3 linked regions of the Mytilus edulis genome follow. The protein of the gene in region 3 binds, or shares a complex with, the protein of the main gene of each other region. Links are inferred from orthologs where the notes say so. Each region holds a gene or a part of one and is shown on either strand. Other genes may lie near its edges.

What was found.
Region 1: actin-related protein 2/3 complex subunit 2-like (region 3) and actin-related protein 3 share a complex: the UniProt entries of both Drosophila melanogaster proteins name them as parts of the arp2/3 complex. The link is inferred for Mytilus edulis from reciprocal best matches to the Drosophila melanogaster genes Arpc2 and Arp3.
Region 2: actin-related protein 2/3 complex subunit 2-like (region 3) and actin-related protein 2 share a complex: the UniProt entries of both Drosophila melanogaster proteins name them as parts of the arp2/3 complex. The link is inferred for Mytilus edulis from reciprocal best matches to the Drosophila melanogaster genes Arpc2 and Arp2.

The regions. Positions count from the first base shown.
Region 1 is NC_092357.1:11,020,957-11,024,716, reverse strand, and holds the start of actin-related protein 3, read right to left. Parts: upstream 2,255-3,760; 5' UTR 2,134-2,254; coding exon of another isoform or gene 2,090-2,133; 5' UTR 1,716-2,089; coding exon 1,651-1,715; intron 627-1,650; coding exon 446-626; intron 1-445. UniProt on the Drosophila melanogaster protein: Functions as ATP-binding component of the Arp2/3 complex which is involved in regulation of actin polymerization and together with an activating nucleation-promoting factor (NPF) mediates the formation of branched actin networks.
Region 2 is NC_092346.1:18,322,352-18,326,111, reverse strand, and holds the start of actin-related protein 2, read right to left. Parts: upstream 2,899-3,760; 5' UTR 2,788-2,898; coding exon 2,740-2,787; intron 1-2,739. Other genes in the region: uncharacterized protein, read left to right, coding at 2,975-3,139. UniProt on the Drosophila melanogaster protein: Functions as ATP-binding component of the Arp2/3 complex which is involved in regulation of actin polymerization and together with an activating nucleation-promoting factor (NPF) mediates the formation of branched actin networks.
Region 3 is NC_092345.1:92,662,255-92,666,014, forward strand, and holds the start of actin-related protein 2/3 complex subunit 2-like, read right to left. Parts: upstream 2,225-3,760; 5' UTR 2,131-2,224; coding exon 2,057-2,130; intron 1-2,056. UniProt on the Drosophila melanogaster protein: Functions as actin-binding component of the Arp2/3 complex which is involved in regulation of actin polymerization and together with an activating nucleation-promoting factor (NPF) mediates the formation of branched actin networks.

The sequences.
Region 1 (3,760 bases), on a different chromosome or scaffold from region 3:
TTTCTTTTGTGGTCATAAACCTTGTGTCAAAATTTCATAGATTTCTATTAACTTAAACTAAAGTTATAGTGCGAAAACCAAGAAAATGCTTATTTGGGCCCTTTTTGGCCCCTAATTCCTAAAATGTTGGGACCAAAACTCCCAAAATCAATACCAACCTTCCTTTTGTGGTCATTAACCTTGTATTAAAATTTCATAGATTTCCATTCACTTTTACTAAAGTTAGAGTGCGAAAACTAAAAGTATCCGGACGCCGGACAACGACGACGACGCCGACCCCAACGTGATAGCAATATACGACGAAAATTTTTTCAAATTTTGCGGTCGTATAAAAATGAACGAAAAACAAATATGTAACACATAAACAAACGACAACCACTGAATTACAGCCTGTTATCTACCATTTTAACTGTCACCACAAATATTTTTCTAAATTACTCTTTACCTTTACACTGTATGATGTTGCACTCAAGGCTTCATCTCCAATAAAGAAGTCTAGGTCCTCCACCCCTTTACCAAGTCGTTGTATAGCTTTATCTCCTACTGATGCCGATTCTTTTACAGCAATGGCTGATGGTACAATGAACTGTGGTTCTGTGTTACCGGCATACCCCATCTTGGTGTACCTGTAAAAGTACAAGCAAATAAAATATTAATGCATGTAAAACTTTAATTATATATCTATCACAGCACAGCTCAATTGACAATTCTGTTCAAAACTTTAATTTCAGGAAACTCAATAATTAACCATTCATTTATTATAACCAATTCTTTCGTGTATTGTCTGCAGTGTTTAACCTCAAAATCAAAATAGCCAAACATGGGTGTATATTAAAGAGAACTATACATGTATAGGCAAAAAGAGAAAACAAAGATTTCATCAGGTTTGTTTAAGTTCCAAAAAGTTTGCTATAGAAATTTAGTGTTCAAGCTAGGATTTCAAAAAGGCAGGGTGCCAATCATGAAAAGGACATTTAAAGTGTGAAATAATATGAATACAAGTGTGAAGAGTTCTAGAATAATTTATAATACGCATTTTCAACTTCTAATTGATGAGGAATTAATGGAAACCATGTTTTATCCATAAGAATATCACAAGCATTCACACAAGATTTAAAATAACTGAAGGTTAGCTTTATGCCAAAAATCTAATAATCTACCACATGTTTCAGATTGAATATTGGTCGATCTGTTTTGACAGTCCAATTTAAAAACTGTCAATACAGGAAGCATTGATATTTGTCGTAATCATAACCACAGCCGCAATAAAATTTCAACCATAATGAATCTTTCCTACATTTGATATGACATGTAGATTTCTTCAACCAAGAACCTTTGATTTTCTTATGTTAGAGGGCTGAGCGAGTTGAATTCCTTTCTTTAATTAATTTGGATAACAATTTTATATTAACTAATTTAAATAAGTGCAAAGTGTGTTTTCTTGATATCTTAGACATTTTATTCCAATGATTGTATTTTTAGACAGATACATTTACTAAATGTACCAGGAGGTGAGATATTCCTATCTGCCTATAGCTGATTGCATGTAAAATGAGTGCACAAAACATAAACACCCTCCATTACATTCATTTCCTGTTTCAACTTGAACATTTTTAATGACTTTTTCTTGTATTTACAAAATGTACAAACCCTGTGCCACAGTCAATAATAACAGCTGGGGTCCCTGTAGGACCAAATGACTTTCCGAATGACATCTTAATGAATACACGCCCAGAATATTGCAATAAGTATAAAGATGGCTGAAGGAGATGGTCCTTGATGTCCTCAAGGAAGTGACAACTTTGTCAACAGGTTTATTGCTATTTAGTCATAAAACGTAGCTTCCTGTTCTATTTACATATTCATAAACCGGCAATACACAATTTTTGTAATTATATCACGTGAACAAAGTGTTTAAGGAAGTATTTAGTGTTTTATTTTAACAACCAATACAAAAGATGTAGATATTGTTTACTGGGAACGTTGTAAGTGCATTAAATGCATACACCTTTCAGAAAATCCGCCCATTTTCATTTTTGCAGGTAGTAGGGTTGGTTTTTAATGGGGATTGAGGTTAATTGTTGCATACCCGGTTCCACAGTCTACTACAACCGCTGGAAGTCGTCCAGCCATTGTTTATGATTGAATGTATGTTAAATAAAGTTGTTTGGAGTTAAAAACAGAAAGCAGGAAGTGACTCAGCCGGCGACATGAGAAACAACATGGCCGATGGGAGGTGATTACCATATTCTATGCAGAACTTTTATTTCTAAAATTTAACGATAACCACTCAAAATGCAATGGTAAAGTAAATTTGGTGCTCGAACTTGTTTATTTTTAAGTTTCAAGTTAAAATTTCAAACTTAATATATTTTCATAACAAATAAGAAATGTGGTAGATGGACTGAATTATACGGATACCAGTCGAAGGTAAATGAGGTACAAAATGGGAAAATATTTTTTATTTATATTATGCATGTATGAATTGGATCTTCAAATTTTGTGCTTGTTTTTTTTTTATTTCAAATTTTAAAATGCTATATCCGATTGATGATTTGTTGTTTAAATTAAATGAGGGGGGAAATAGGGGGTAAAGAAAATCTTTCTCTCTCTCAGTCTCGTAGTAAAATAATCAGACAAAGCAGTGACGGATCCAGAACTTTTCCTAAGGGGGGGGGGGGGGGGGGGGGGGCGTTGACTGCATGACCTAAGGGGGGGCCCGCTCCATTCATGCTTCAGTGATTTCCTATATAATCAACCAAATTTTTCCCACGAAAGGGGGGGGGGCCGGGCCCCCTGGATCCGCCTAATGGAGACTCATTAAAACTGGACAAAAGTATAATGAAAATTAACATATATGTTGTATGATGGTCACCGTAATGCCTTCAACAATGAGCAAAGACTATAACACATAATCAGCTAATTTTAAGATCCCGAAATGATAAAACAATTCAACATGGAAATTAAAATACCAATAAAATAATGCATAGCAAGGTTTATCTTTGAGAGCGTACACGATGATTAATTAAATTGACCTTATACATGTGTATGTTAAAATCATATCATGAGATATTACTGTTCATTTCGGTTCATGAAATTTTAGTGAATTTGGTTGGATTCTACATTTTTTTCTCAATAGATGATTACGGTCAACAATTTAATACAGAACATGTAAAATTTTGATGAATATAATTCACATATGAGAGGTTTTTTAATAAAACAACAAGATAATTTCATTTTATTCTTCGCAATCTGTTTATATAACCTCTTTAAAATATTTTTTTTTATTACATATCATTTATTTTTACGTCATACTTAATTTTGTAATTTCTATTTTTAAAAGTTTTGGCCTACTTCTTTTTTTTTTTATGATGTGAAAAACCCGGATAATTTCAAACATATTTGAAATTGTACTATGTTTTACAATTTGTATGAAAATATTTGTTAAATAGAAATATATTTGTATATATGGTGTCTCATAAGCCTATCTAGGCTGGGTATTTGTCTTATTTTGTTATTGTGCAATGTATATTTATAGATTATCGTTGATCATCTCAACGAGATTGATTTTCTCGCTTGAGCTGGTACAGCGAAAGTGAGAAAAGCAATCGAGTTGAGATGACCAATGATAATCTGTTTATCGCTATTTTAACTATGACGACGTTGTCAATTTCATGTCAATTTCGTTAGCAACGCCACGTGGCCTCCTTAGTTTCTAGCGATAATTTTTCCATCTCAAGCTAGAAGCATGATATGAAAA
Region 2 (3,760 bases), on a different chromosome or scaffold from region 3:
AAAAGAATTTGAGTCGGCGGGTTTATTTTGGGTCGGTGGCGTTTGGGCAAACATACAATCTTTTTATTTTGGCCTAAGGGAATATAAATAATATCAATTTTTTTTGTGGAAAATATTTTTTTACAAGGGAGCTTATTTTTGACCCAGGTATGGGGAGGGAAAACAAACAAATCTTTTATTTTGGCCTCAGCTGAAATAAGATTCATAGTGTACATTTAAACATGATTAACTAACACAAAGTTTGGTTTCTTATGCATTTTCCCCAATCTAAAACGTAGTTTGGCGAGCAGTAAACAGACATGTATGTACAATTTTACTTAAAGACATGTACATGTACAAATGTATATGTATTTAAATTTACAGATTGATGTTGATAACTTAGACATGACATATTTTATGAATACCGCTAGAGTTATTTCCCTTCAAACGTAAACAAAAGTTCACTAGGACGCCATTTTGTAATCGATTTCGTAATCAGCTGATTAGCAAACTGCAAAAGATTGAATAGTGAATACAGATACTTATCATGCCATCAACAAATCGGAAGTGAAAACGTGAGGAAGAAAATGAGAAACAGGCCGCAAAATGCAGAAAGCTTTTATCATTTTTTTAAAGGTTTGTAGATTTTTATTACAAAATGGTTACGCACTTGCAATGGTGTTACTGTTATTTCGGGGGTAAAAATAAACTTTTGTCAAAGGGATAATTTAAGGTTAAAGTTGAGTTAGGCCAATGATCTCATGAAATCACTTGCATATTAATTACTTTCAATTAATTCATTTTTTCATCAAATTATTTTTTTTAAATTTACTTCTTCAGTTTTTAATTTGAATTAATTTAAGAAAGGAACAATTTATGAAAAAACTTCCAGATTATTTAAGATATTCTTGTTTTATGTGTAATTTATTTATTTTCAGCACCAAAGAGGCAGAAATAGACTGAATGTGTCAACTGTAAACAATCTTGTTCTAGTGTCAGCAAATAGATGATTTGGATATCAGGGAATGTGTCAACCTGTTTTTAGGGGAAAAAAGGAGGATTTGTCAATGACAATTAATATGACAAAAGCAATATTTTTATATATATATATGACATAGTTCTTTCTTGTTTTTAAACATTTTTAAAGAACTGATTTTGTTTTTAATTGTGTTTATTGTTTTAAATATTTCATATATATGTTTTAAACACTTTTTCTTGTTTAACAATTTGTTTTAATGATTGATTACAGATGTATATGTCCTTTTTATAGCATTAAACTAGTATGTTTTAAATGAATCCATTTTATAGAAATTGCCTGTTTATATTAAGTAAGTGCCCTAAAATTGTTGTCCATCGTGCTTAATGTGCCCTCTGAGCTAACAATTACCCTGCCCTTTTTAAAAGCTGCAGGAAACACTAACAACATACATCATTGTACATGTAACCTGCTAAAAGTAAATAAAAGAGAATTATCATTAGCTGCTTTGTAACTTTTGATAATTTGAATTAGAGTCAGAATAAGTTCAAATGAACAAACCAAGACTTAAAATTGGTATTAAGATTGGGAATAATAACAAGCAGGATATGAAATCAAATCTTCCTGATAACTGACAATCATGACAATGAGAGAAAACAATTTTCAAAATAACGTCTAGAATCTTATTTACATTTCATAACCTAGAAAATACATGCAATCTTTTCTACCACATATAAATGAAACTGAATTCAAAGAAGACCAATCCATTGTCAAATTTTTATTTCAGGCTTTGCTAGTTTTGGACTCCTGTAATCATGTTTCGACAGTCTGCACTAAATACTTTTTGACTACTAGTCTAAAGACCCAATATTAAGAGGTTTTTTTTTATGTGTCTAAACAAAGTTTTTAATAAACTAACTAATTCGAATAAAGTTTAATTAGTCTTGGGCACCAGACTAGTGGCTAAAGCCAGTAGCACTGTTAGTACATTTGTAACAGCGCAGAGAGGCGGATTAGTAACGGTGCACACAGAGTGACACAGTATGAAATTAGCAGAGGCACACTCACCAATGGCCCCTAAAATTTGGTGTGGGCTACTGAAATTTCTTCTTCCCTAATTTAAAACTATATATATTGTCTACAAATTTAAGCTGTGGGCAACCGTGCCAAAATCTTAACTTCAATCCCTGGCAACAGGGGCGGATACAGCCATTTAAAAAAAAATGGGGGGTGTGTTCCGAACCCAGGATAGACAGGGGAGGGGAAGGAGGTCCAACCATATGTCCCCATTCAAATGCATTGATCTTCCAAAAAAAAGGTACATATAGGGTCCAACCACCCCCCTCCACCTAGATCCGCCATTTGCGCAGACTGTTTGGAACCTGTTTTTTTAGAAAACAATACCGCAAGCAAATTTACTGGTACTCAAGATGCAAGTAAAGTTTTCAATGCCTTTCCAAGATTAGAAAAGTTCATTGCATTAAAACTTCAAAATTGTCAACACTACAACAGGGGTAGTTGGCAAATAAAAGTATTGGGTAATAGACATTTGTGGATCATGTTGATAGAATGCAGATTCATAAAGTAATATGTGCAAAGTGAAAATGAATTACATATGTTTGTGTTCATTTAGTGTAGTTTGTGCATTTTTATTCGTATAGTTTTATGCATTAAAAATATAAAGATAAATAGTAAGGAACTCTATATTGACACTTCCGGGTTTGTTTACAAATTTAAAATCATTAGAACGGTAAAGTATGAAATATTTTTTTCAAAGTGCTTACTCCTGTGCCATTATCACAGACAACAACTTTCCTTCCATCTTTATCCATGGCAGATGGTGATGGATTCAGCAGTAATATGCAAACTTTGGTCTTTTCCTTCTAGCAGACAAACCGGAAGTTAACACCCCGGCATTTGACTCACAACGGGAAATACGTTACAAGGTCCGTGATTAGTTATTGTAAAATCTATAGCCAATCAAATGTTCTGTTTTATCAAATCATTTCAACAACAACAATGGCAGCCACCAGCCAAGTTTTGACAGCTGTTTTACTTTTTCTTATTTTCACAAATATAAAAGGAAAATACAAACAGATTGAAATTGAAATAGCAGGAAAGAACGAAAATGAACCTGCAAAGATTTTCTCAGAATCTGAACTCAGACAATTCGATGGATCTGATGTACGACTAACAAATATGTTTTTTTTTCTGAAAAAGGGGGAGCGGATAATTTGGTTAAGTTTGCCGTGAACAGGACATACATTTGCTTCAAAAAATTATATTCCTTCCATCAAAATTTATATTTACAATCTCTTTGTAAAAATTCAGTGTGGGGAAGCAGGATAAATTGCTCTACTGACAAACCGCCCCACTTTTTCACCAAAGTGCCCACAGGCACTTGTTTCTATCCATTGGAAGACCCACTATCAATGTACATTTACGTAAATGTACGTGGCCAACTCGCCCCTCTTTAATGAAAACAAATCTACAAACAATTCAAAATATTAAATAATTAACGAGTTCTGTGCCATAGGGCCGATGATCGGCCCAAAGTCATACTCCTTTCAGTGCCAAAGGGCCGATTCATCGGCCGATTGAAATGATGTTATGAACTACGTAATGTACTATGACGTCGCCGTTTTTGTGATAAATCTAATTCCTCCGTCTTGAAACATTCGCGCGTTTTTTTACCAATATTAAAAGATATGAAAGGGGAGCTTTTTTATGAAATTTATGAAAATAAAATTATGTAAGGATGCGTTTATAAATATATATAAAATTATATAATATTTAGAACTATAG
Region 3 (3,760 bases):
ATAATCAGCTGATTGCATTTGATAGCAATCGACATCAAAGGACTAATTAATAAAGGTGTTGATTGACAAAATGATATGGTTAAATGGCGCCCGTCACATGTTTCATCAAGGATTATTAACCACTTTGCGACACACATGTTTGAAGCAAAATTTTGACGACTCTTCTCCTTCTTTTAATGATAGTCCAGAAAAGAAAACTGTTGTTATGACAAAAAATGTACAAAAGCCAGAAAGGTCTCTGATTTTAAAACTATCATTTAACTTCGATATCGATAATTGATTTGAGTGGGTACTTCAAAGTCGTTTCAGTGACACACGTGCGAAAAAAAAAAGGAAAATTTTAAAAGAAAAATATATTTGTGTTACTTGGCCAAAAAAAAAATAATGTGGCGAAAAAAAATATTGTTTTGGCCAAAGAGGTGGCGAAAAAAATAATTGACCCAGGGGAAATCCTGGTGTTGTAAACCTTTATATTAATGAAGCACTAAAATCAACACAAAAACTTGTTAAAGTCTTAATCATACTTGCAGAAAATTCTATCTCAAAGTCCAATTGGAAAAATGGTTTCAGCATTGTAATAGGAAGGGGTCACAGATTTTTTTTTTAAATAACCTTTCAAGACGTCAAAACTATTTGGACTAATGAGTAATGAAAGGGGAAATCATCATAAATTTTTCCTAGGCCTTATCAAAACAAACTTTTGTCTAAACAGTTAATGTTAAGAATAATAGAAAATAGTGTGGGCAAAACAACCTGCGGTCAAACTGCCCAGGTTGTGAAGTGGAAACTTCTTAGAAGCCATTATTTGGTCAGATCATGTTTTTTCGTATATCATATGAATTCATATAAATTTTAATGCATTCTTTTTTAATGGAAATTGTGATGTCACAATGCATTCTCAATAAACGTATTTACACTTTAGGTATTTAGCTGAATTTTGTCTCCAAATGACCGTAGATCGCCTCCGAATAACCTTTTGATGTCAAGCAACAATCACTTTTTTATTGTGACGTCAATTTTTTTGAATTGTTATGTCAAAGTTTACGGGAACCTGTGTGATTCTACGTAATGGCGGACAAATTTCCATACAAGTGTAAATACGTCTATAGTGCAATAACCAATGAGACGAAGATACTATTTTAATTTTTTTTTAATTTATAGATATAGGAAGATTTGGTGTGAGTGCCAATGAGACAACTCTCCATCCAAATAACAATTTATTAAAAGTAAACCATTATAGGTCAATGTACGGCCTTCAACACGGAGCCCTGGCTTACACCGAACAACAATCTATAAAGGGCCCCAAAATTACTACTGTAAAACAATTCAAACAGGAAAACCAATGGTTTTATCTATATAAAAATCGAGAAACGAGAAACACATATGAATTACATAAACAAATGACAACTACTGTACTGTGTACTGTGTACATGTACATCAAATTCTTTATTTAAAGTCGAGTTGCATTCCAGACTTACATTGTAGGACTACAAGTCATCCTACGATTTTGTTAATACATATTTTCGAACATCCTGGCACTTTAAATTTCTAGGAGGTGAAATTCTCGGGATTTTACCTCAAACTCTATGGGAAAATACAATTTTTAATTCCAATTTAAAACCAAACGGTAAAATTTATCACACAGATTTTTAAAACACATGTCTATTATGATAAGGAGATTTGAAAACACGATCTCAAATTTAATTTTAATGATTCAACAAAAAATTAATTGAGTTTTAAGTTTGTGTACCTATATATGGTAAAACCCGAAGATTTGTCACCGCTTCAACTCCAATATTCAAATAGATAAACACAATGTAATTATCTGATTGGTCAATCTTCAGCTGTGATGCAAACATGAAATTATGTATATTGTCAATTTTATAGATCTTGCATTGTTTATATTTTTTGCTGTAAGTGTAATGCCAATTTATTGCATTATACGGGTAGTACTGATACTGTGATACATCGAAAGAACACGGAAGCATGTACTATACCGGGTTTATTTGTAACGCCCTAAAACTATATCCCTATACAAATCTAATGAATCTATTACCCTTCTTTTGCATTTTTGAATCTTAAATTCAGTGTTTCTTCAACAATTCGGTTATGAAATTCAAGCAAAATCATTTTAGCAGTGACTTATTCCTCTGAAAGAAGGGTGGGTTATTCCTTATTCCGGAACTGTTGTTGATTTCCAACCTTGCCTTTGTAACACTTCTTTTCATTGGCCAATTTTTGTACTGGTTACCGGAGACTTGTAAAATTATTGCGTTTGCTCTAAGTGTGAATCAAATAATTGCCTTACCAGATGGCAGTTTTGATAAAGGTAATTTTATTGGATAATCTAATTCTGATTTGAAAACAGCCGGGAAGACGGAAGTTGCCTTTAAGGCTTTATCAAGAACTTTTGAATGACAATAGTTATAAGTAACAGTTAGGTATACTAAAAACATAGGTATTTAAAAGTAGAAGAATATTATTGAAAAATTTCATGGGTCATTCAAAGAAATCCATGGTAAAAAAACGCCCACATCGGTCACAGAGACTCGGTGAGACAAATGGAGAGACAGGCCATAACACAAATCATTGTGTACTGACTCATTCTTGGATGAAAAATAAAATTTTAACACTTAAACAGAATTACATGTCACAGGGTAATATGGCCACTTAATCTTTGTAAATTAAAATAGGGCGTTGAATATGTGACGAAATATAATGTTGCAAACCATTTATTTCACACTGAAAGTACATAAAATATTAATTATAATAAACATTTATTTCAAATGTTAACTTGAAGTTTCCTTCTAAATTGAACTATGAATTGGATAGAAGTACATGCATGTTAAGGCCTAAAAAAAATGTGATTACCTGAAAGTAGGGAAAAAGTTAGGGTGTCCCTTATGTAGCGTGCATGCTTAAGTGTGTGAAACTCGCATTAGTACGAGTTCACCGTATATATAGTGCTAGAAAAAGTGGCGGGTTGCATGCATAATAACTTCGTGCAGAGTAGTATATAGAGTAAAGTCTTTTTCTAACTGTCCGTCAATGAATGAACGTAGTAAATATATAGTACACACAACATATAGTGTAGTACTAGTATATAATTGTACTCTAATAAATAGCTACGGTGACATACAAATGTACATATATCCTTATCTATCTCCATTTCCGTATTTACCTTTGCACATGAACGAGGTAAACAACTGTAATGGTGGTCACTTTGTTTACTTGTCTATATTCTATTTATTTGGGGATATTGGTTAACTTTAGAATTACTTATAGTTCCGTAACTCTTTCTTCCGAGACCGGCCATGAAATTATCCTTGTCGGGACTTCCTGTTCTGGCACGTGCCCGGCCGGGCTCGTTGTCCATAGGAACTATAAGTATGACGTCACTCACCGGGTTCTGGGCAGTCTACATTAAGGATTTAAAATGAGCAGACGCTCATATCGTTTGGCTTTCAAATATGGAACGTTATAAGGACAAGTAGACTAGCCACCACCGTATTTTAGTATATTTATTCATGTAATCGTATGTTCAACCATAATGTATGTCTTCAAATAAACATCTTGTTTATATTTACGTAGTTTTACGTACTTTGTCCAATATCCCAGAACTTGGGTAGACAACGGGAAAACGAAGCCAGTGGAAACTTCCACTCCCGTTACATTGGGGGCTCGTCCGAGGGATATTTGAGGACAATAACTTAAACAAACATTGTGTTTGTACATTATTTCGGCGATATGGTCGGAATAA